5 linked regions of the Canis lupus familiaris genome follow. The protein of the gene in region 2 binds, or shares a complex with, the protein of the main gene of each other region. Links are inferred from orthologs where the notes say so. Each region holds a gene or a part of one and is shown on either strand. Other genes may lie near its edges.

Region 1 (2,858 bases), on a different chromosome or scaffold from region 2:
GTGATCCTGGAGACCCGGGATCGAGTCCCACATCGGGCTCCCGGTGCATGGAGCCTGCTTCTCCCTCTGCCTGTTTCTCTGCCTCTCTCTGTTTGTCTATCTCTCTCTCTGTCTCTTATGAATAAATTAATTTAAAAAGCTTTAAAAACAATCTTAGAGACGGGCAGCCCTGGTGGCTCAGCGGTTTGGTGCTGCCTTCAGCCCAGGGCGTGATCCTGGAGACCTGGGATCAAGTCTCACGTCGGGCTCCCTGCATGGAGCCTGCTTCTTCCTCTGCCTGTTTCTCTGCATCTCTCATGAATAAATAAATAAAATCTTTAAAAAAAAATCTTAGAGAAACTGAAGCTGAGCTGTATGCAAGGGTGCAGGGTGGGGGGAGAGACCCACCCCATGGGCAGCAGTAGGTGCAGAGGTGAGAATCAGGGCTCTGTAGGCAGAATGCTGGGAGACAATACAAAAGGGTCATGGGTAGGCAGCCCCGGTGGCGCAGCGGTTTGGCGCCGCCTGCAGCCTGGGGTGTGATCCTGGAGACCCGGGATCGAGTCCCACATCGGGCTCCCTGCGTGGAGCCTGTTTCTCCCTCTGCCTGTGTCTCTGCCTCTCTCTCTCTGTGTCTGTGAATAAATAAATAAAATCTTTAAGAAAAAAAAAAAAGGGTCAGGGGTAAGCATTTTCCAGAAATGGAGAAATCTCAGATTGAAAGAAAGCAGAGCCCATTGCAGAATAAAGGAAAACCAATCCCTTTTTGGACACATGGTAATGAAATTACAGACCATTAAAGGAAATCTTAAAATTTACCAGAGGGAAAAAGTGGTTTCGTAGCAGCCTGACTGCAGACTTCTCAGGAGCCGCTGCTGGGAGCCGAGGGAAGAGAATTTTAGGTGCCGAGAAAAAGGACGGATTCAGGACCCGGGGGGGACCTCAAAGGATGCTTGTTAGCAGGGGTGGGTGTGGGTGTGGGTGTGGGTGGGTGCTGAGTCCCGCAGACAGGACAGGCTGCGAGGAGGTGGAGGGGCTTTGAAAATGAGCACCGATGGTAAATAATTAATCATGGTGAGGTCAAGTCTACACATGATCCAGGAAGAGAAGCTTTAGATTTTTTTTTTTTAAGATTTTATTCATGCGAGACACAGAGAAAGATCAACATGTCCTGATTGTACCTCGAGTGATCGCTGTTCGTTCTGGGGATGCTCGCACAGCAGGGCGTGGACTTAGACCGCCTGAGCGGTGGACTTTAACATGGCTAAAACAGAACATTTTATGTTATGTATATTTTACCGCAATAAATTATAAAAAAAAAAAAAAAGATAATTTCTGGGGAGAAAAGATGCAGAGGTATGCCGCCTCCAGCAGCCAGCAGGAGGCAGGACCACGTGGGCTGGAGTGGCCCACAGCAGCCCCGGGAAGGGCATAGGGATATCGGTGTCTGTCGGCTGGAGGCCAGGTGACCAGTGGGACATAGGAGCGCTGTGCAGCTGGGAGCCTCGCCCATCCACAGGAGCACACACAAAGGGACAGTGTCATCTTGAGATGCAGAAAGCAAGCACTCGAAACGGCCAGGGGTCGCAGAGCCCTGCAGAGTGGACGGCTGCGGTGAAGACCAGCCCCAGCGGCCCTCCTGGGGCTCTAAGGCTGGGTGTCCCCCAGCTGCTGCTGGGACCCAGACCTGGCTCCCCCCACGCACTGCTCTTTTCACCCCTTCCCCAACTTGCCTGTCACTTTCTAGGGGTTTCTCCTTCTGTGTCCCCTGCACAGATAAACATGTTGTCCCATGTGGTGGATGATGGCCTGGCCAAGGGAGGGGAGCCCACGGAGAGTGGCCAGAGCACCCTACAGCCCCCAGCCCTGCACCTGCGATGGGGGCACATTCCTCCTGCTAACCTGCTTCTCCTCTGCCCACAGTCCTCATCATGGGAGGCATCGTGGCCACCGCCGGCCAGTTCACCAAGTGGTACTTCGGCGCCTACTCCATGTATCCTGCCACCGCAGAGTCCAGGCTAGGGTCGGGGGCAGGACTTCTGGGCACAGGGTGGGGCTGCTGCTGTCCCTGGGGGCATAGCACTAAACAGTTTGCAGAGTGCTACCCCCATTTGTGGGCCCTTGAGACACTCCACAGCGCTGGGGAGGGCAGGATGGGGCTCGGTCACACAGTGGGACTGAGCAGGGCAGCAGCCTGCCCGAGGCCGGGCGTGGGTCCGCAGCAGGCCCATGAAGACTGGCCTGGGGAGAGGTGTCAGAAGCCCTGAGGCCTTGGGGATTCCTGGGATCCCCTCCAGGCCCCCTCTATCAGCCGTCCCCCAGGGTTGGCCTGGGATCCATCGGAACAGGCTCAGCCCCTCTGGCCCAGCTGTGACAGGCCCACCGAGGCAGGCGTGGGGGGGGATGGAGGGCTCATGCGGGCAGCACAGTGGCAGACTCTGCTGAGTGACCTCTGGGAAGCAACCTAACCCTCTGTCTTCTCATCCGCAAAGGGGGCTCACTGAGACCCCCGGGCTGTGTGGCGGCTCCTTAACGGCACCTGCAGCGGAGCAGGCGTGTTTGTGTGCCTGCTGGAGTATCCGCGCGGGAAGAGGAGGAAGGGATCCACCATGGAGAGATGGTGAGCCCCCAGCCCTGCTCCGGGCCACCCCACGGGAGCACCCTCCTTCCAGGGCCTGCCCAGCCACCGTGGCCCCCCACTCAGTCCTAAGGAGTGAGAAGCCAAGGTGCTCTAGGGAGGAGGGTGCTGTGTGGGATACAGTGTCTTCCCTCCCCTCTGCCTAGTGGACAGAAGTACATGACCAAAGTGGTGAAGGTGTTCGGGCCTCTCTCCAGGAACTACTACATCCGGGCCTTCCTGCACCTTGGGTGAGTCCCCT
Region 2 (3,951 bases):
TTAAGTATGAATTCACGGTTTCAGCATGATCTAACAAATGGTATCCTGTGAGGGCAGTTGTAATTGTAGTTATTTTCATTTGTCATGAAGAAGAGCCCTGGCAGCTCAAGGAAATCAAGGATGGTAAAGAACCCCAAGGAAAATTGGCAGCCTTCACTCTGCTGGCCTAGTCAGTGTGACTCTTGGACAAGTTCCTCAATGATTCCATCTGGAGGGAGAGGCTTATTTCCCAAAGATCATTTCACAACATGTCGCTGAGCTCTCCATGCACAAAAGTGTCAGGAATCAGATGATTTAAAGAATATGGAAAGTCTCACTTGCCCCACCTATGTCACCCTTGGATGGATCTCTCCAAATTTGCCTGCCATTCTGGAGTTGGCATCAGATTTCTTCTTTAAGCTAAACAGTGGCACAGTAGTTCTTGGGAGAGGAGGGATGCTGCTGGGAATCTCTGATTCCCAGATAAACGCTTTAGTTTATCTAACACTGGGTGGCCTCAAGACTCGTGCCCAGGTGGTTGCAATGGAGGGATCGAGGCTAGTGGTGTTATTTGGGTTGGTCAGAATATTTATTTAAAGTGTTGAAAGGAAAAAAAAAAACAAAAAAAAAAAAAATAAATAAAGTGTTGAAAGGAATAAGAACCAGAATCTTTGATTAGAAATGTGAGCCAGTCAATATTGCATGAGATGGAACTTTTACTTACCCCAAGAAGTTTTCGAGTGTAAAAGAATTCTTCTCCATTGTTATAAACCCCATAGAACCAGATAAAGAGGAAGACGTTCAGCCCCAGCCACACCAGCTGCAAAAAGAGAAATAGTTGCGTGAAGTTTCCACATTTCCATAGGTAGATTTCACATAAGATTAGAGTCAGACTGGGGTCAGGACTTCCCCAGTCTAGCCTTCAACGAAGCTGATCACAAATTTGGGTGTAACCAGCTCAAAGTCAGCTTTTTCCTACAACAGTGCCACTACACTTTGTGATTGACCTTTCCACCTTGTGTGGTTTCCCATGATTCTTTCTCTACCAGCCAGTATGCCAGGTTATTATTAGTCTATCACCCCTTTGTCTTTTTCCTCTTCTTTTCTTCTGGAGCTTAAATAGATAGCGGTGAGTGAGTCTTCTCAAAAAAGAAGGGAAAGGCATATGCTACTATATAGTCCCCTGCACCTGTAAGACATTGTATCCTATTCTCGTGGGTGCCATCGCCTCCCTCCACCACATGGCACCCCACCCCAGCTAGTGGGAGTCACATCAGCTAGAACGTCAAGCCTTTGATTCTATTTGGTAAGTTTGCTTAACTTTTAAAAGAGGGAATATTGAACAGGAACAAGGGGTAAGGAGCATGGGATTTTGTTTTTTTTTTTTAAAGAGACCCTTTTACATTTTGACTGCTCATTGCATCCCAAGCACAGATTGCATTAAGTGGAGGCACTGCTCAGTCTCTAACCTTCAGCTCCGTAGTGATATTTTCTTACTTGTGCTTTAATGCCATTAAATGTCTATGGGTGCTTAAGAATGAACTCTTTATGAAGAAGAAGGTATTAAAACTACTTCTCCATTCTTACTCTTGCTTTCCAAGATGTGTCTTTACTGTGAAGCATATGAGTGTGCAATTTAGGAGGAGGTCATCTCCTGGGGAAAACTGTGGTAGGAGCTAAAAGTATAATATGAACTTGTTTTCTATAGGAATAATCTGTTCTCAAAATGGTGATAAGAAGCCAAGTGAACAGCTCTGAGTCCTCAGAAGAATTCTATATGGCATTAGAATGTTGGTTTGGCATATTTTTTTTAATGACACAGTATTTCTTGCTTTTATTTGTGACACAAATTCCTCTCTATGTCTGCAACTCAAAGGCTCAATATTTACTTTATGATAAATTCTTTCAGAAATTCCACTCACAAGTGTTCTTTTTTAGCATCAGTACAATACTTTCATTGGCTATTTGGAAAGGCTAATTATAAATCACATTTCTATCTTCCCAATTGTCCGTGATCGCTTTGCTGAGACCGCCATCTTAAAATAATAGTTGGTCCTTGTTATGGTAAAAGACTAAAGATATTAACATGAAAATTAGCCCTATCTTTACTTACAAAAATTGTTTCTTAAAATAAACTAGATTTATACATATATATTTATATATATACATAATATATATCCACTGTATTTATGAGTCTAGTTTATTTCAATTTCCTTCCCTTGAATTTCTATAAACCTTGTAAACAACTCAAGTTTACCTCAGAGAAAAAAAGGTACTTTTTAAAAAAAGAAAGTTGAGAACGTCAATTAGTTTTGGTGTAATCACTGAAATAAAGGCCAATTTCCCATACATGAGTCAGCCTTGTACCTGTTATTTGGAAGATGGTGTAAAATTATGATTCCCCATTCTTAAGTGGTATAAGCACATAAAAAGTGGAGAATTTGCCTCTGAGTAAATATTAATAAACAACTTAGACTTGTAGATTATTAGCATGAAATGTCTTCTACTTGCTCTGTGAAATGCTGGCTACTTTAGTACTCCCAGATTCAAGTAATAAGTAGGCGAAGTGATCCCCCAGATACATTCTTATCATTAATAAGTTTGGAAGAATGCACTCAGTCTTGCTTACAGATAGATGTATGTTCACATGGTAAATCAGTTTCAATACAATTTCTCAAAGAAATAAAACAAACGAACAAAATAATTTTGCCCTATTTTAGTTTTCCGGAGAACCCCAACAAGTTCAAGAATTTATCATTTCTCTCTCATTGGTACTTACAATGACAAAGATGGAGAGCCCCTCATTCTCAATCCAGTTCCCCATGGTGACAAAGGTTCAATGCCTTGTGTCTGCCTTTCTTCTCTGCTCTGCTTCTTCTTCCCATGAGGAAATGAAAACAGCAGCCTTGGGGCAATCGGTTTCCTTTTCTATTATCAGAAATTAGCTAATCATTGGTCAACTGAAAATCTTGTTTCCATAAGAACTTTAAATCTTTAAACCACAAAAAAAGCTGCAGAAAAAAGGTCTAAAATAATCCAGTCATAACTAAACCGAGTAGGAAATGAGACCAATTTCTACAACTGAGAGACAAATAACAGTCCAATGATGGTATATATTTTACACAGGGACTTAACTTTTTGATTAATTGGTTATCAAGTAGTAATTTTTAAAAAGTCACTCAACCAGCCATGACTTCATGCTGGATAAAAATATTACATATCTTTTGACAGACTGAGCAGCATTTTACAGTCTTGTTGAGAATAATAACAACAATGATGGTTGATACTTATAGCATACTTACCTCATGCCAATTTTCTAAGATACATATGTGTGTGCATACACATATACACACATACATATACAAACATATATATTTACATATGATTTGATACATGCCAAACACAGACACGCATATTAAATTCAGTATATAAATAAATTCACTTGATTCTAACAATTCAACCCCTATAGAATAGTTTTTTATAAGATCTTTTTAGTTTTTGAATTTTTATTTAAGTTTTGTTAGTTAACAGTGCAATATTGGCTTCTGGAGTAGAATTCAGTGATTCATAAAGATTTTATTTTTAAATAATCTCTACACCCAACATGGGGCTTGAACTCACAACCCTGAGATCAACAGTCACATGGTCTACCAACTGAGCCAGCCAGGCGCCCCTAAAGTAGTTTCTATTACTATGATTATGCTTACAGATAAGGAAATTGAGACCCAGAGCAGTTAAGTTACTTGGCCACGGTCATGTAATTAGGAAATAGTAAAGTTGGGATTTGAAATCCAAGCACTTTGGCTATACTTCTAACCGGATGCCAGAAAAAAAAAAAAAAAAAAAGCCTAACTGTGTCAACCCCATCCAAAATCACTTCAAATACAATTACAGGAAGTAAAAATATAACAAATATAGCAAAATGTTTGGATGACTATAGTATTCCCAGGAAGACATGACATCCTCTAGGTT
Region 3 (4,280 bases), on a different chromosome or scaffold from region 2:
CAGAGCCGGACACCTACAGCCACACCCTCTTGGGCTCCCACGTGTCGGGAGCACGGGGCCAGGGGGCGTGGAGACAAAGAGAGGCATCAGAGCAGGTGCTCTCCCCAAGCTGAGGTCACTAAACGGGAGTGGGGGCCAGAGAGCAACCGTGGGTCCTGTGGTTCCTCAGGAAGGGCCCACCAAGGAGACGGTCCCTCACCCAGGGCACCTTCAATCTGCTCCGTGCTACGGCAACACCACGGAGCAAGGAATTCGGTGGAAGCAGTCGCAAAGCGCGTCTAGGAGAAATACAGCTTCGGGGGATCCCTCTGCCCAGGGGCTGAGTCCTACTAACCAGAAACCTCGAAGCTGAAGTTTGAGGACAGGGGGTGTGTGAGGCCTCTGAGCCTCTCCCCCTGCGGTGATTCCCACGGCGCCCCCACCCTCGCCTGCGCTGGCCTTACCTCCCAGTCCTCCAGGTTCTGCACGGCCACGAACAGGCAGCCGGTGACATAGAAGAGCTTCCAGCCCAAACTATCTGCAGAGCAAACAACAGGCAGCGGGTGAGGGGCAGCAGCAGCGGGCGGAGGCCTGCGTGCCATGGGCCCCCTCGCCAGCCGATACCGGGCAGGGGTGGCACCTGGGGCCAGCAGACCTGGCCCAGGGTGGCCGCCCGGCACTGCTGGCCCTGCCTGTCACTTGGAACCATATGTGAAATGTCCGGCCAGCTCTGTGCCCTCCACTCTCCCTGCAGCATCTGCTGGAGACACGGTGTGACTGTGACGGTGGAGGGAGCCACCTGCAGGAGCAGCTACAAGTGTGGCTTAGCCTGCAACAGCCTCAGGCAAATACAAGAGCACCTTTTAAGAAAGTTTCATCACCAGGGAAAGTGCTCCAGATACGAGAAGGGAAGAGCACAGGTGGCACGGGACAGGCTATTAGGAAGGATGCACCAGTGCTCAGGCTGGGGCAGCACCTGCACAGGTGCCTGTGGCCCCAAAGGCTGGGGCTCAGTGGGCACCACTAATGGTGAGTTCTCTCTCTCTTTTCTCTATTTCTCAAACAGACTAAGTGACAGGGTGGGCGGGAGGGGGGAGGGGAGGGAGGCAGGGGGATGCACCTCACCTCCACTGTAGTATGCAGCAGCCAGGCCAATGGACAAGATTCCTGCAAAGAGAAAAGAAAGCAGGTGCTTCTATTGGGCCACCAGCGGCCTAGGGCCCCCTCACTTGGAGCCACAGGCCCAGAGGTGCAGGGAGAGCAGGCCTTCCTGGTGCCAGGGTGCCTGGAGGTGGGGAGCAGGGGAACCAGAGACCATGGCTCAGGAAGGAGGGCAAGAGGCAGGAGGCGCGCTTGGGACCATGGCAAATGCCATTCTGCGTTCCGGGAATCTGTTCCTCTACCTGGGGCTCCAGGGCTGACCAGCGAACCAGAGGGAGGAGCCGGACAGCAGGGGTTTACTCTACCAGCGCAGCATGTGCGCAAGGACCACGTGTGGCACATGAAGCACTACAGGCAGGTGGCCACGAGCAGGGTGTCGGGAATGACGGACCAGAGGCAGGCTGCTGAAGGCACAGCCACACCACTCCTCACACCAGGCCCACCAATGGCCTGCAGCTGCCCCCGCGTGCTGGACGCCCAGAGGGACAGTGAAGGAGCGAACTGGGGCCCACCGCCCAGCCTGACGCCCGCACCCGGGCATTGGGAGGCAAGGAAAAGGAGAACACCAGGACCTCGGGAGAACAGGCACAACCTTAAGGTGAAGGTGGAAAAAGGACAATCGCACGGAGGATAAAAGCTAGAAAGATATGAGATAATTGTTGTACTTGGGGGCAACAAGACAGTTTTGTTTCCGTTGTTTTTATTTTTTTATTTTTTAGTTAAGATTTATTTATTTATTTATTTATCATAGAGAGAGAGGCAGAGACAGAAGAGGAGGGAGAAGCAGGCTCCATGCACCGGGAGCCCGACGTGGGACTCGATCCCGGGACTCCAAGATCGAGCCCTGGGCCAAAGGCAGGCGCCAAACCGCTGTGCCACCCGGGGATCCCTGTTTCCGTGTTTTTAAAGTTAGGTTTTTAGCTTGGGGGAAATACGGAAATCCTTACCAACAAGCAAAGACCAGGACCTGATGCCCGGAGCCCTCTTCAGATGGAGGCAGGAGCTGCTGCGGGACTCCACCTGCATGTACATCCCGGGCCTGGGCGGGCAGCGCTCCGACGCAGACGGGCTGGGGAAGGGCGAGGGCAGACCGCGGCTGGGGTCCAACCGCCCGCCCGCGGGGAGCCGGCCCGGGGGCACCGGGAACCCGCGGCCCCAGCAGCACGCGAGCCTCGCCCCGGCGCAGCCTCCCGGAGCGCGCGGTCCCCGCCAAGAAAGGGAACTGCGAGCGTCCTCGGGCGGCCGAGGCGCGGGGGGGCGGGGGGAGGGATCGGCGGGGAGGGAGGGGGAGGGGGGACCGACGGGGGAAGGGGGGAGGGGCCGGGGGCGGGTGCTGCCGGCCCGCGGACCGAGGCGCGCGGACGCGGCTGGCACCCAGCAGGCGGGGCTCCGGGCTCTCCGCGCACGCACCGAGGGTGGGCTCCGCGGCGCGGCACCGGGCTGCCCGAACGGCGGCGGGCGCGGGGGTCAGCGGCTCCCCACAGCCAGGGCCCCCGCGCCCGGCGCTCCCGCCACCACGCGCCGCCCGCAGCCCGCCCGCAGCCCGCCCGCAGCCCCGACGGCGGCCCGACCCCCGCGCCTACCGAACACACGACCCCGCGGGCGCTGAGCCGGGACCTCGCGGCGCGCGGCGGGCCGCCCACTTCCGGGGTTGGGGGCGGGACGGCTGACTTCCGGGCGAGGCGGGCCCGACTTCCGGGGCGGGGCCTCTTGCCGCAGCGCCCGCGGCGGAGGGCGGCGGGGGAGCCGGCGCCTCGGGGCGCGGGAGCGACGCCCCAGGAAGCCTGGAAAGGTAAACTGGGCCTCAAAAGTCTCCCTTAAAACATTGATCAGGGGATCCCTGGGTGGCGCAGCGGTTTAGCGCCTGCCTTTGGCCCAGGGCGCGATTCCTGAGACCTGGGATCGAGTCCCGCGTCGGGCTCCCCGCATGGAGCCTGCTGCTCCCTCTGCCCGTGTCTCTGCCTCTCTCTATCATAAATAAATAAATCTTTAAAAAAATAGAAAAATAAAAATAAAACGTTGATCAAAGCAGCTGGTGGCCCAGTCGGTGGAGCGTGTGCTCAGGTCCCGACCCCGGGGTCCGCACCTCCCCACCCAGCCCCTCTTGCTCTCAAATGAAATCTTTAAAAAAAAAAAAAAAATCGATAAACAAAAAGCGAAGATAATCTAACAGTACACGTGCACCAGCTCTGGCAAAAATGCTAAAGCTTCAGTAACATCGAAGGAGCATGAATAGCTTGTTCACGCACTGACAAGTCGTCATAAAAAATGAGCCCCGCTGCGGTGACTGCCGCGGCGCCGAGGCTCCCGGAACCGGGCCCGGCTCTCGCGGGCTAGCCTGTCCACAAAGGATTGCCGTGGGAAAGGCAGTTTTCTCCGGGAAAACCTTGCGATGGCCACGTAGGAGGCCCACCTGCTCCCTCCGCCAAATGCCACTTTCTCTTACTGCCGCAGGTGAGGACCCGAGCAGGACCCCATCACCTGGCTGCGGTCAGGAGGAGCCCCCACCCACCACCTCAGCGGGATGTTGGAAGAACAGGGGAGCTTCTCTTCTCCTTTGTCCCTTTCCTATTCTCAACATGTTTTACAGCCTTCGTAAGATTAGTGCAACGCGTAGTCCCTTACAGAGAAACGTGTGTGCACGGGTACACGTAACCCCAGGAGGCTTACCAACACAGGCACGCGACCTGACCCATCTGCTTCAGCTTCTCTCTGCCCGTGGCTTCCTAACCTGGGCAGGCATCTGAATCACCTGGCAGGCTTGTGGAAGCACAGATTGCTGGCACTTGTTCCTAGTGGTGGGAGGGGGCTGCAACGTCATCTGTTGCTAATCCGCTGGTCCAGGACCCACACTTTGAGACCATCTACCCCAGCTGCAGCAGAGCTGGGCTGTGCCTGAGCACAGCGGGCTCCCTGACCCCTCAGCTCACACTCTGTCTCCTCCAGGAAGACTCCCCTTCCCTATCTTGAAGGTGCATTTGAATTGTTAGTACCTCCTTTAGGTCCTTCCTGCTTGCTGCAGCTGGAAGTGATCTTATTCCTCAGGATTTAGGTAGAACTGAGAGGAGACCCAGGAAATTCTACTTTGTTACACTTACTTGCATTCTTTTCTTTTTTTTTTTAAGATTTTATTTATTTAT
Region 4 (3,512 bases), on a different chromosome or scaffold from region 2:
CACTGGGGACAGAAGTTTCCTAAACATACTGAAGACTTCGAACCATTTGGGGATTATGAGCTGACTTTTAAAACTTAATCACAGTTAATTTTTAGCTGGAGATTAAATGAGGCATCACTCATTCAGACTTAGCATTTTATGGGTTTGGTCTTTATTGAACACTATTACTATAATGTAGCAAAAATCCACAGTTCAAATTAATTGTATTTGAGAATTCCTCCAGCTGAAAAAATAAACACAAAAGACAATGACTGTTGCATGGAAAAAACTTTAAAACTTTAAAAAAGGAAGGGGGTGGGGGGAATAGCTGGCTGGCTCAGTTTGTTGTGTGTCCTGAGTGTCCAACTCTTGATTTCAGCTCAGGTTGTGATCTCTGGGTCATGAGATTGAGCCCCACACAGGGCTCTGCACTCAGCAGGCAGTCTGCTTGAAGATTCTCTCCCTCTGCCCCTTTTCCCCATTTGCACATGCGCACACTAAGTTTAGGGGCCCCTGGGTGGCTCAGTTGGTTAAGTGTCTGACCCTTGGTTTTGGCTCTGGTCACGATCTCAGGGTCATGAGATCGAGCCCTGCATCGACCCCTGCACTGAGTACAGGGTCTGCTTGGGATTTGTTCTCTCCCTCGCACCCTCCCCCTACTCTCGTGCTTTCTGTCTCAAATAAATCTAAAAAATAGAGTTTTAAATTTATTTTACTAAATAGAAAGTTAACTTTAAAAAACTCCAGAATGTCTCCACCTGATCCTCCTCTGGTCATCCTAGCTTGCTGAGAGCATGTACAGCAACTTCTGTTCATTTGGGCCCAGCCAGCTCGGACTTGAAGAGCTGTCCAGATCTATGAATCTTCACCTCAGCTACACTAGACTGTCTGTGATGTGCCTGGAACTATTCAGTGTGCCTTATACTGATTGCTAATCTAATCCTAGGAGAAAACAGGTCATGACTAGAGCTGTGAAGAAACCTGCCAGGGTCACAGAGCTAGGAAGCAGAGCATGGGATTTCAACCTGACAAATTCACTTGACTGCCCCTAGAGCATTTTCCTTTGGCCAGTGAGTCATCTGAGCCTCTAGAGTTGGTTTAAAACACTTTAAAAATGACTAACAAACGTGTAACAAGATAAGCAAATGGTACAAATAAGACAATTGCTTATTTCAAGTAAAGTGGTTTCTAAGCATATTTTAACCAGCTATTACTGATTCACTTTGATACACACATCATTTAAAATTCTCTGAAATGGAAGCAAAACTAATCTAGAAGTTTTTCTGACTGGACACAGTGGACATATTTTTACAAAACCGAAACCTGAATATACATTGAGAAGACTTAGATACTAACGCTGTAGAAAGATGAGCATGTGTTTTATTAGAAAAATAATATTAATTCCAAAAGAGAAGTCATTAACTTGATTTTTAAAACCTTAACTGTTTAAATTGACTCTGTGGCACAAAGCAAACTGATCTTAAAAGTAATTATTGTTGAAACTGGTTTGCAAGAACAAAACAGTACCTATTTCATGCGGCTGTCCTGAAATTAAAATGAAAGCATGTAGAACACATAGCACCATCGTTAGTAGCTGGTAAGGCTAAAAAATTAGAAACAAATCCTTGGTCCTCATCTAGGACATTCACTACCGAACTTAACCTTGCTACTAAAGATGGCAATACAGCTGGCCCTTGAACAACGCGGGTAGTTAAAGGTGCTGACTACCCCCTATGCAGTCAAAACCCTGTGTATTACTTTGACTCCCCGAAACTTTAAGAAACAGCCTGCTACTGACTGGGAAGCCTTACCAATAACATAACCAGTTGATTAATACATGTAAAATATGTTATGTGTAATATACACTGCATTCTTACACTAAAGTAAGCCAGAGAAAATGTCACTAAGAAAATCTTGAGGAACAAAAAAAAAAAAAAAAAAAAAACCAGAAAATCTTGAGGAGGAACTATGCTTACAGTACCGTAATGTATTTATGGAAAAAAAGTCCTGGTGTAAGTGGATCTCTGCAGTTCAAACCTGTGCATTCAAGTGCCAACTGTATAAGCAAACCTGTAGGTGATACGCAATTACACAGTCAAAATTACATACTCTAAAGGACACATTAAAAAGCAGTCATGATCCTTACTGTTTGCGGATAGGATAAGGGACGTAATCTGTCATAATCTTCTTGTCCAGCTGTATCCCATAAGCCCAGATTCACTGGTTTTCCATCTACCATAACATTGGCAGAGTAATTGTCAAAGCTGTAGAATGGAGAAAAAACACTTTAGCCCTGGAACATAAGGCATAGATGGGGGGTTTGAGTGACTATCATAGCAAGGGTCTCAGAGGTGTGCCAAGGCCAGGAGTGGCCTGGAGGCTCCCCTGAAAGCAAAGGTGCCAGCATGCAGGCACAAGGAGCCAGAGCAGCCACATGGAAGGAGAAAGGGCTGCAGGGTATGGGGAAGGCGAAAACACTGCACCTGGAGAAACACGCCTGGGACAGACACAAAGGACAAGGTAGTCCACTGAACTAAAACAAATGACTGTCAGCAAGAGAAAACCTTTGTTTTTAATGAAGAGAACATTAAGATTTTTCTCTCCAGAAAGAAACAAAGTATAAATTAGTCCCTCTCTCAAACCCACTTGTTGACTTGTGTACACGTTACTCATCTTCAACAAGGTGGCATACCACAAAGCCATACTCTACAGTGCTTCCAGAACACCCGCACTAAGTGCAGGGCAATCACCATCAAGCCTTGGTCACCGAGGCCTGCAACCAAACTGCTATGGTAACACAAAGCAATGCTTTGAAAAGTTATGGTGTGAGGCGAGCCTGCTTCTCCCTCTGCCTGTCCCTGACTCTTTCTTCTATGAATGAATAAAATCTTAAAAAAAGAAAAGAAAAGCTATCATGTAACATTTCAAGAGTGAGTATACACATGTACTTAAATTAACTTAAAGTTGTTACACAAAAACTAGTTAATGATAAGAGGCAGCCCAGAGAAGCCTGGCAGGCAGAAAATAAGGTGGACTTAAAAAACAAACAAGAATCACTAAGTACCACCAAGTACTTCACTAAAAATTAATTCTGAGGACGCCTAGGTGGCTCAGTGGTTTAGCATCTATCTGACTTTGGCTCAGAGCGTGATCCCGAGGCCCTGGGATTGAGTCCCACATCCGGCTCCTCGTGGGGAGCCTGCTTCTCTGCCTAGGTCTTTGCCTCTGCCTCTCAGGAATAAAATCTTGAAAAGGAAAAAAAAAAAAAGAAAAAATCTGGGATTGCAATTCAAACCAGGGCAAGTACCAAACAAGACACAATATATCAGCCTGTAAGATAAAATTCAAAATCATTTTTACATACTCTCAACTCTCAACACTAAAACTTAGGGTCTTGTTACATTGAGACAGCAAAGCAGAGGTCTGCGTAAGGCTCCAATGTGGTTTACAGAATGGAATGACAACTAAATACCGTAAAGAAAAAGCCTCATGTCTTGCAATTCTGCCTCTGTGAGAAAAATATTCAATAAACA
Region 5 (4,046 bases), on a different chromosome or scaffold from region 2:
ACTTGATCCCAGGACTCCAGGATCATGCCCTGGACTGAAGGTGGCGCTAAACCGCCAAGCCACGGGGCTGCCAGAATCTGTATTTTTAACCAGCTTTCCCAGGTGACCCGGATGTGGGGCACAGGGTTAAGGGGCCGGGGGCTGCCTAGGCCTCTGTCCCCATCTGGTGGTGCTGAGCCCCCTCGCCGCCTCAGCCAGAACCCCCGGTGTGATCGGTGCTCCCCGTCCTGGACTCCTCGGGTCTCGGGGTGGGATGTAGCTGGGCGTCACCCTCCACCGGGAGCCCCATGGGGAATCCCCAGGCCCCTGGCTCCCAGCCCTGCCCCTGCCAGCCGCCCCTACCAGTTCATCTCGGCCATACATCTCACTCTGGGTGTCTTGGTCTTTTATTTTTTGTGTCATTTGTATAACTAAACGCCCATGATAGTAGCTTCAGACTGGAAAAGCAAAATAAAATAATGCGAGTGTGCAGCCCCCCCCCCCCAAAAAAAAGAAGGGGCCAGGGGGCGGGGAGATACCCAGGAGACCACTGAACGGAAGGGGACAAGCCACAGTGCCTGACCAGGGCTCTGCGATCACGCGCCTGGGCTCCAGAGCTCCAGACACCAGCTCCACCACCTTCCGGCCTCGGGCAAGGCACTCAGCCTCCAGAAGCCTCAGTTTCTCCATCTAGAAAATGGGGAGAAGATGAGCTACTTCTCCTAGGAGCGCGCTGAGTGGTAGATTAGATGAAGCCCATAGAGGGATCCCTAGGTGGCGCAGCGGTTTGGCGCCTGCCTTCGGCCTAGGGCGCGATCCTGGAGACCCGGGATCGAATCCCACGTCGGGCTCCCGGTGCATGGAGCCTGCTTCTCCCTCTGCCTGTGTCTCTGCCTCTCTCTCTCTCTCTGTGGCTATCATAAAAAAATAAAAAAAAATAAAAAAAAATAAAAAAAAAAAAAAGCCCATAGAAGAAGCCAGCCCACGTCTGGCACAGTGTAGCAGCCAGTCTACATGAGGGCAAATTACTTGACCTCCCTCCTCTTCCCGTCCCACCTCACCCGACACCCGAGAGAGCAGCAGTTAAGAGCACTGAGTTTTGAAGTCAGAGGGACCTGGCCTCAAATCCCACGAGGACTTGGGCAAATTACTTGACTTCTCTGAGCCTCAGTTTTCCCACCTGTAAAATGGGCCTAGTGTTAGGTTGGTGGGAAGATCAAATGGGAGGGGTTCCAGGGGGTCCAGCTCCTGGCCCGTAGTCAGTGCCAGCGATGGCCGTGGCGCGCTGCCTTCCCTGGGCCTGCGGGGCCGCTGGGCTGGGAGGGGACCTGGGCTGTGCAGTGGGAAGTCCAGCAGCCAGAGGGGCAGCCCTGTCCCCTCCAGCTCCACTCTGGTGTTGCCACGTCCTATGCTGAAGAGGCTGGCCACCTTCTCCCCACCGCTGCCCTCCCCAGAGCTTGCCACCAAGGTGACTCTGAATGACTGAATGCTGGCTTCTGCCCTCCCCTCCTCAGATCAGATACAAAGAGGAAGTGAGCGGGGCTGGGCCGGGGGCAGATAAGGCCAAGCCGGTGCCTCAGAATCAGCAGAGGGCTGCCTGGTAATGCACCCGCTCCCATGAGACTGATCAGAGCCCAAGTCAGGCCGACAGGTCAGGGCCACGGGGCCCCGGGCCCGGGAAGATCTGGGTCTCTTCAGGCCTCAGGCTGCCCCTCTGCAGAATGGGAGAGTTGCAAGGGAGGCCCGCCCAGCTAGAAATGCTGGGGGGTTTGCTGGGTTGGACTCACGGAAAACCCCAGGTGGCTGGACCCAGAGACATTGTCGCTGGCCAGCACCAAGATGGGCAGCTTAGACCAGTCGTTACACAGAGACCCGCGGGGACCTGACAACCTGAGGCCACTGAGACCTGACAGCTGAGGGCCCTCCCCTGCCCCCCCACCCCCCCGCAGCCCAGCCTGGCCCTCACTGACCCTCCCAATCACCCTCCTGTCCCTCCTTGCTGCACCTTCCTTTCGTGTCCCCCTCCCCCTTCTGCTCCTCGCCCACAAACCCCGCACATCCTCCCCAACCAGGCAGGCTGAGGCGGAGGGGACAGCACCGGAGGGGGGAGGGGGGTTAATACTTCTTGAGCACTCTCTGCACAGGACAGCCACTCAAAATATGTCAGGTGACCCTCACATCAATCCCGGGGGCGTGGTCTCTTCCCAGATGGCAGAGCTGAGGTTCAGAGAGGCTCTGTGGCTTGCCCAAGGACACACAGCCATGCAAGCCAGCCACTGGAGCCCAGGCCAGCCTGATGAAAAAGGCCACCCCCCACCTGCATCCACAGAGTTGAAGATGGTTCCCGTAAGAGACCTGCTCCAGCTCTCAGGGTGCAAGTGAAGGGCCCCAGGCACCTCCACCCTCAGTCTTGTGCCCTCCACCCACCTCCACCCACCTCCACCCAGGCAGCTTCCGGAGTGAAGTGGGCAAAGAGGATGAAGCTGTCCTCTCCCTACCTCGGGGGCTCTCCCTGGGCCCCAGGACAAGAAGGGAGCAGTGGTTTCTCCCAGCTGCCCCCCAGAGACTCCAGGGCAGGCGGGCCTCAGGGGTAGCCCAGGAGAGAGCTTCTGCCAGGTGAGGAGGTGCAGCCAGGTACCTACCCATCTCCCACCACCACACACTTGATGGCCTGCATCTCGCTCCGGGCCTGGGAGGTAGCGCCGGTGACAGCTCAGGGCACAGAGCGTTTCCGCGGGCTCCAGGGGTTTGGAGAGCCTGGCAAGGCGCCCCGCCAGAGGAGCAGCAGCAGCAGGACAGGAGGCAGGAGGAAGCGGAAGGGGAACTTACCCAAGCTGCTGCCCCAACAGCCGTTTGCAGAAGGCGGAGCATGCGGTCTGGTAGGACTCGGGGCCCCTCAGGTGCTGGGCTGGGACGCCAGCAGGGGACCTGGGGACCCTCTGTGCTGGGGCCTCCCCGCTTGCCCTTGGGGTAGGGCCACAGTTGTTCTCCAAAGACTTAAGCTTCCAGAAATTCAGTTCATCTTAATTCTAAGTGTCAAGCATTTAATGAGTGCCTGCTGTATGCCAGCCATAGTGTCAGATGCTGGCGAGTCCAGGGTGCAAAAGGTACAGCCGATCCCTGGGGAAGATGCCACCTGACACATGTGTCCATAAGACAAGGCAGGAAGTGATGGGGTCAGGGTGGGGGATCTCTGGGGAGGGGAACTCAGAGCTACACAGAGGGAGAGTTGGGGCCTCTGAGCATTTGAGCCAGTGCCTGAGAGGTGGTGCCAGAGAGAGGGCACTCCAGATGAGGGATTGTGTGAGCAAAGTGCAAGGCTCCCCCAAGCAGGTGCGAGTGTGGGGGTCCTGGAGTGTGGAAGGATGGGAGGTACAGGGGGATGGGGGGGGCAGCTGGGGCAGGCAGGGGGTGGAGGCCAGCTGATGGAGAAAAAGTAAAAGGGAAGTGATGGGCAGTACCCCACAGGAGCCAGTCTTGTGCTGGAGGCTGCCTTGGGGGACTAGGCACCCCAGAACGAGGATCCGTGGCTCATTTTAACAGCGGGCAAATGGAAGGTCTGAGAAGGCAGTTGGCTGAAATCGGACCCAGGGCCAGGTGACTCCAGGTTTTTCTGGCATCCCAGCCACAGAGAAGAGAAGGAGACAGAAGCCCGAGTTCTGCAGCTCGTGGGGAGGAGGAGTGCTCCCCCTTAGCCATGAGTACACTTGGAATCTGGGCCTCCCTGGGCCTCCCTGTGGGATCCGAGTTCACCTGGATCTTACTGTTCATTGTCACTGCTCCCCACACCCAAGCAAAGAAGTAAGCAGAGCCACTGGTCACCCACCCCCGACTGTCACTGAGGACGAACCAGGAAACCCCAGGACAGCGGTCTGCTCCAATACTTGGCCAGTCGATGATTAAAACCAACCCACAAATTTTGATAACTTTCCTCTGCCCTTTGCATAAGCTGAGCTGAGACCGTGGAAAACACTTCACGGTGCTCAGACCGGGTCAGGAAGGCCAGTGTCCTCCCCCGTGACCCACCCTGGGCTTCCTCCCTCACAAATCACCCAAGGACTTTATTC

The links.
Region 1: the proteins of CYBB (region 2) and CYBA are in contact, whole or in part, in a cryo-EM structure (PDB 8X2L), measured with the Homo sapiens proteins. The link is inferred for Canis lupus familiaris from reciprocal best matches to the Homo sapiens genes CYBB and CYBA. Residues at the interface, in NP_000388.2 of Homo sapiens: Thr116, Ile117, Leu120, Phe121, Val123, Glu124, Asn128, Asn133, Lys161, Asn162, Pro163, Gly166, Leu167, Ala170, Val180, Thr183, Leu184, Ile187, Leu188, Thr191, Ser192, Thr194, Lys195, Thr196, Ile197, Arg199, Ser200, Tyr201, Glu203, Val204; in NP_000092.2 of Homo sapiens: Gln3, Ile4, Glu5, Trp6, Met8, Trp9, Glu12, Gln13, Ala16, Ile20, Thr23, Val27, Gly31, Phe33, Thr34, Gln35, Arg56, Arg59, Met65, Gly102, Phe103, Leu104, Leu105, Ala106, Ile108, Leu109, Ala112, Cys113, Ile116.
Region 3: the proteins of CYBB (region 2) and CYBC1 are in contact, whole or in part, in a cryo-EM structure (PDB 8KEI), measured with the Homo sapiens proteins. The link is inferred for Canis lupus familiaris from reciprocal best matches to the Homo sapiens genes CYBB and CYBC1. Residues at the interface, in NP_000388.2 of Homo sapiens: Trp28, Asn74, Leu75, Leu76, Ser77, Phe78, Leu79, Arg80, Gly81, Ser82, Ser83, Ala84, Cys85, Cys86, Trp206, His210, Phe212, Pro266, Met268, Trp270, Lys271, Ile273, Tyr280, Tyr324, Phe326, Lys328, Leu335, Glu336, Trp337, His338; in NP_001028218.1 of Homo sapiens: Arg22, Leu26, Ala37, Ser41, Gly42, Asp43, Trp47, Phe50, Tyr51, Phe57, Gln61, Asn62, Glu64, Lys77, His97, Asp98, Gln99, Val100, Val101, Val102, Leu103, Arg108, Ser111, Glu115, Val117, Arg118, Tyr119, Phe120, Arg129, Ala131.
Region 4: CYBB (region 2) and RAC1 share a complex: the UniProt entries of both Homo sapiens proteins name them as parts of the phagocyte NADPH oxidase complex. The link is inferred for Canis lupus familiaris from reciprocal best matches to the Homo sapiens genes CYBB and RAC1.
Region 5: CYBB (region 2) and RAC2 share a complex: the UniProt entries of both Homo sapiens proteins name them as parts of the phagocyte NADPH oxidase complex. The link is inferred for Canis lupus familiaris from reciprocal best matches to the Homo sapiens genes CYBB and RAC2.

Annotation. Positions count from the first base shown.
Region 1 is NC_049226.1:65,179,117-65,181,974, forward strand, and holds part of CYBA (cytochrome b-245 alpha chain), read left to right. Parts: intron 1-1,902; coding exon 1,903-1,972; intron 1,973-2,524; coding exon 2,525-2,599; intron 2,600-2,763; coding exon 2,764-2,847; intron 2,848-2,858. UniProt on the Homo sapiens protein: Subunit of NADPH oxidase complexes that is required for the NADPH oxidase activity that generates, in various cell types, superoxide from molecular oxygen utilizing NADPH as an electron donor.
Region 2 is NC_049260.1:32,670,675-32,674,625, reverse strand, and holds the start of CYBB (cytochrome b-245, beta polypeptide), read right to left. Parts: upstream 2,804-3,951; coding exon 2,759-2,803; intron 800-2,758; coding exon 704-799; intron 1-703. UniProt on the Homo sapiens protein: Catalytic subunit of the phagocyte NADPH oxidase complex that mediates the transfer of electrons from cytosolic NADPH to O2 to produce the superoxide anion (O2(-)).
Region 3 is NC_049230.1:759,859-764,138, reverse strand, and holds the start of CYBC1 (cytochrome b-245 chaperone 1), read right to left. Parts: upstream 2,811-4,280; 5' UTR 2,724-2,810; intron 2,210-2,723; 5' UTR 2,173-2,209; coding exon 2,088-2,172; intron 1,147-2,087; coding exon 1,105-1,146; intron 518-1,104; coding exon 444-517; intron 1-443. UniProt on the Homo sapiens protein: Functions as a chaperone necessary for a stable expression of the CYBA and CYBB subunits of the cytochrome b-245 heterodimer. Controls the phagocyte respiratory burst and is essential for innate immunity.
Region 4 is NC_049227.1:11,830,563-11,834,074, reverse strand, and holds part of RAC1 (ras-related C3 botulinum toxin substrate 1 precursor), read right to left. Parts: intron 2,244-3,512; coding exon 2,126-2,243; intron 1-2,125. UniProt on the Homo sapiens protein: Plasma membrane-associated small GTPase which cycles between active GTP-bound and inactive GDP-bound states.
Region 5 is NC_049231.1:28,294,991-28,299,036, reverse strand, and holds the start of RAC2 (ras-related C3 botulinum toxin substrate 2), read right to left. Parts: upstream 2,807-4,046; 5' UTR 2,657-2,806; coding exon 2,622-2,656; intron 2,357-2,621; exon of another isoform or gene 2,296-2,356; intron 1-2,295. UniProt on the Homo sapiens protein: Plasma membrane-associated small GTPase which cycles between an active GTP-bound and inactive GDP-bound state.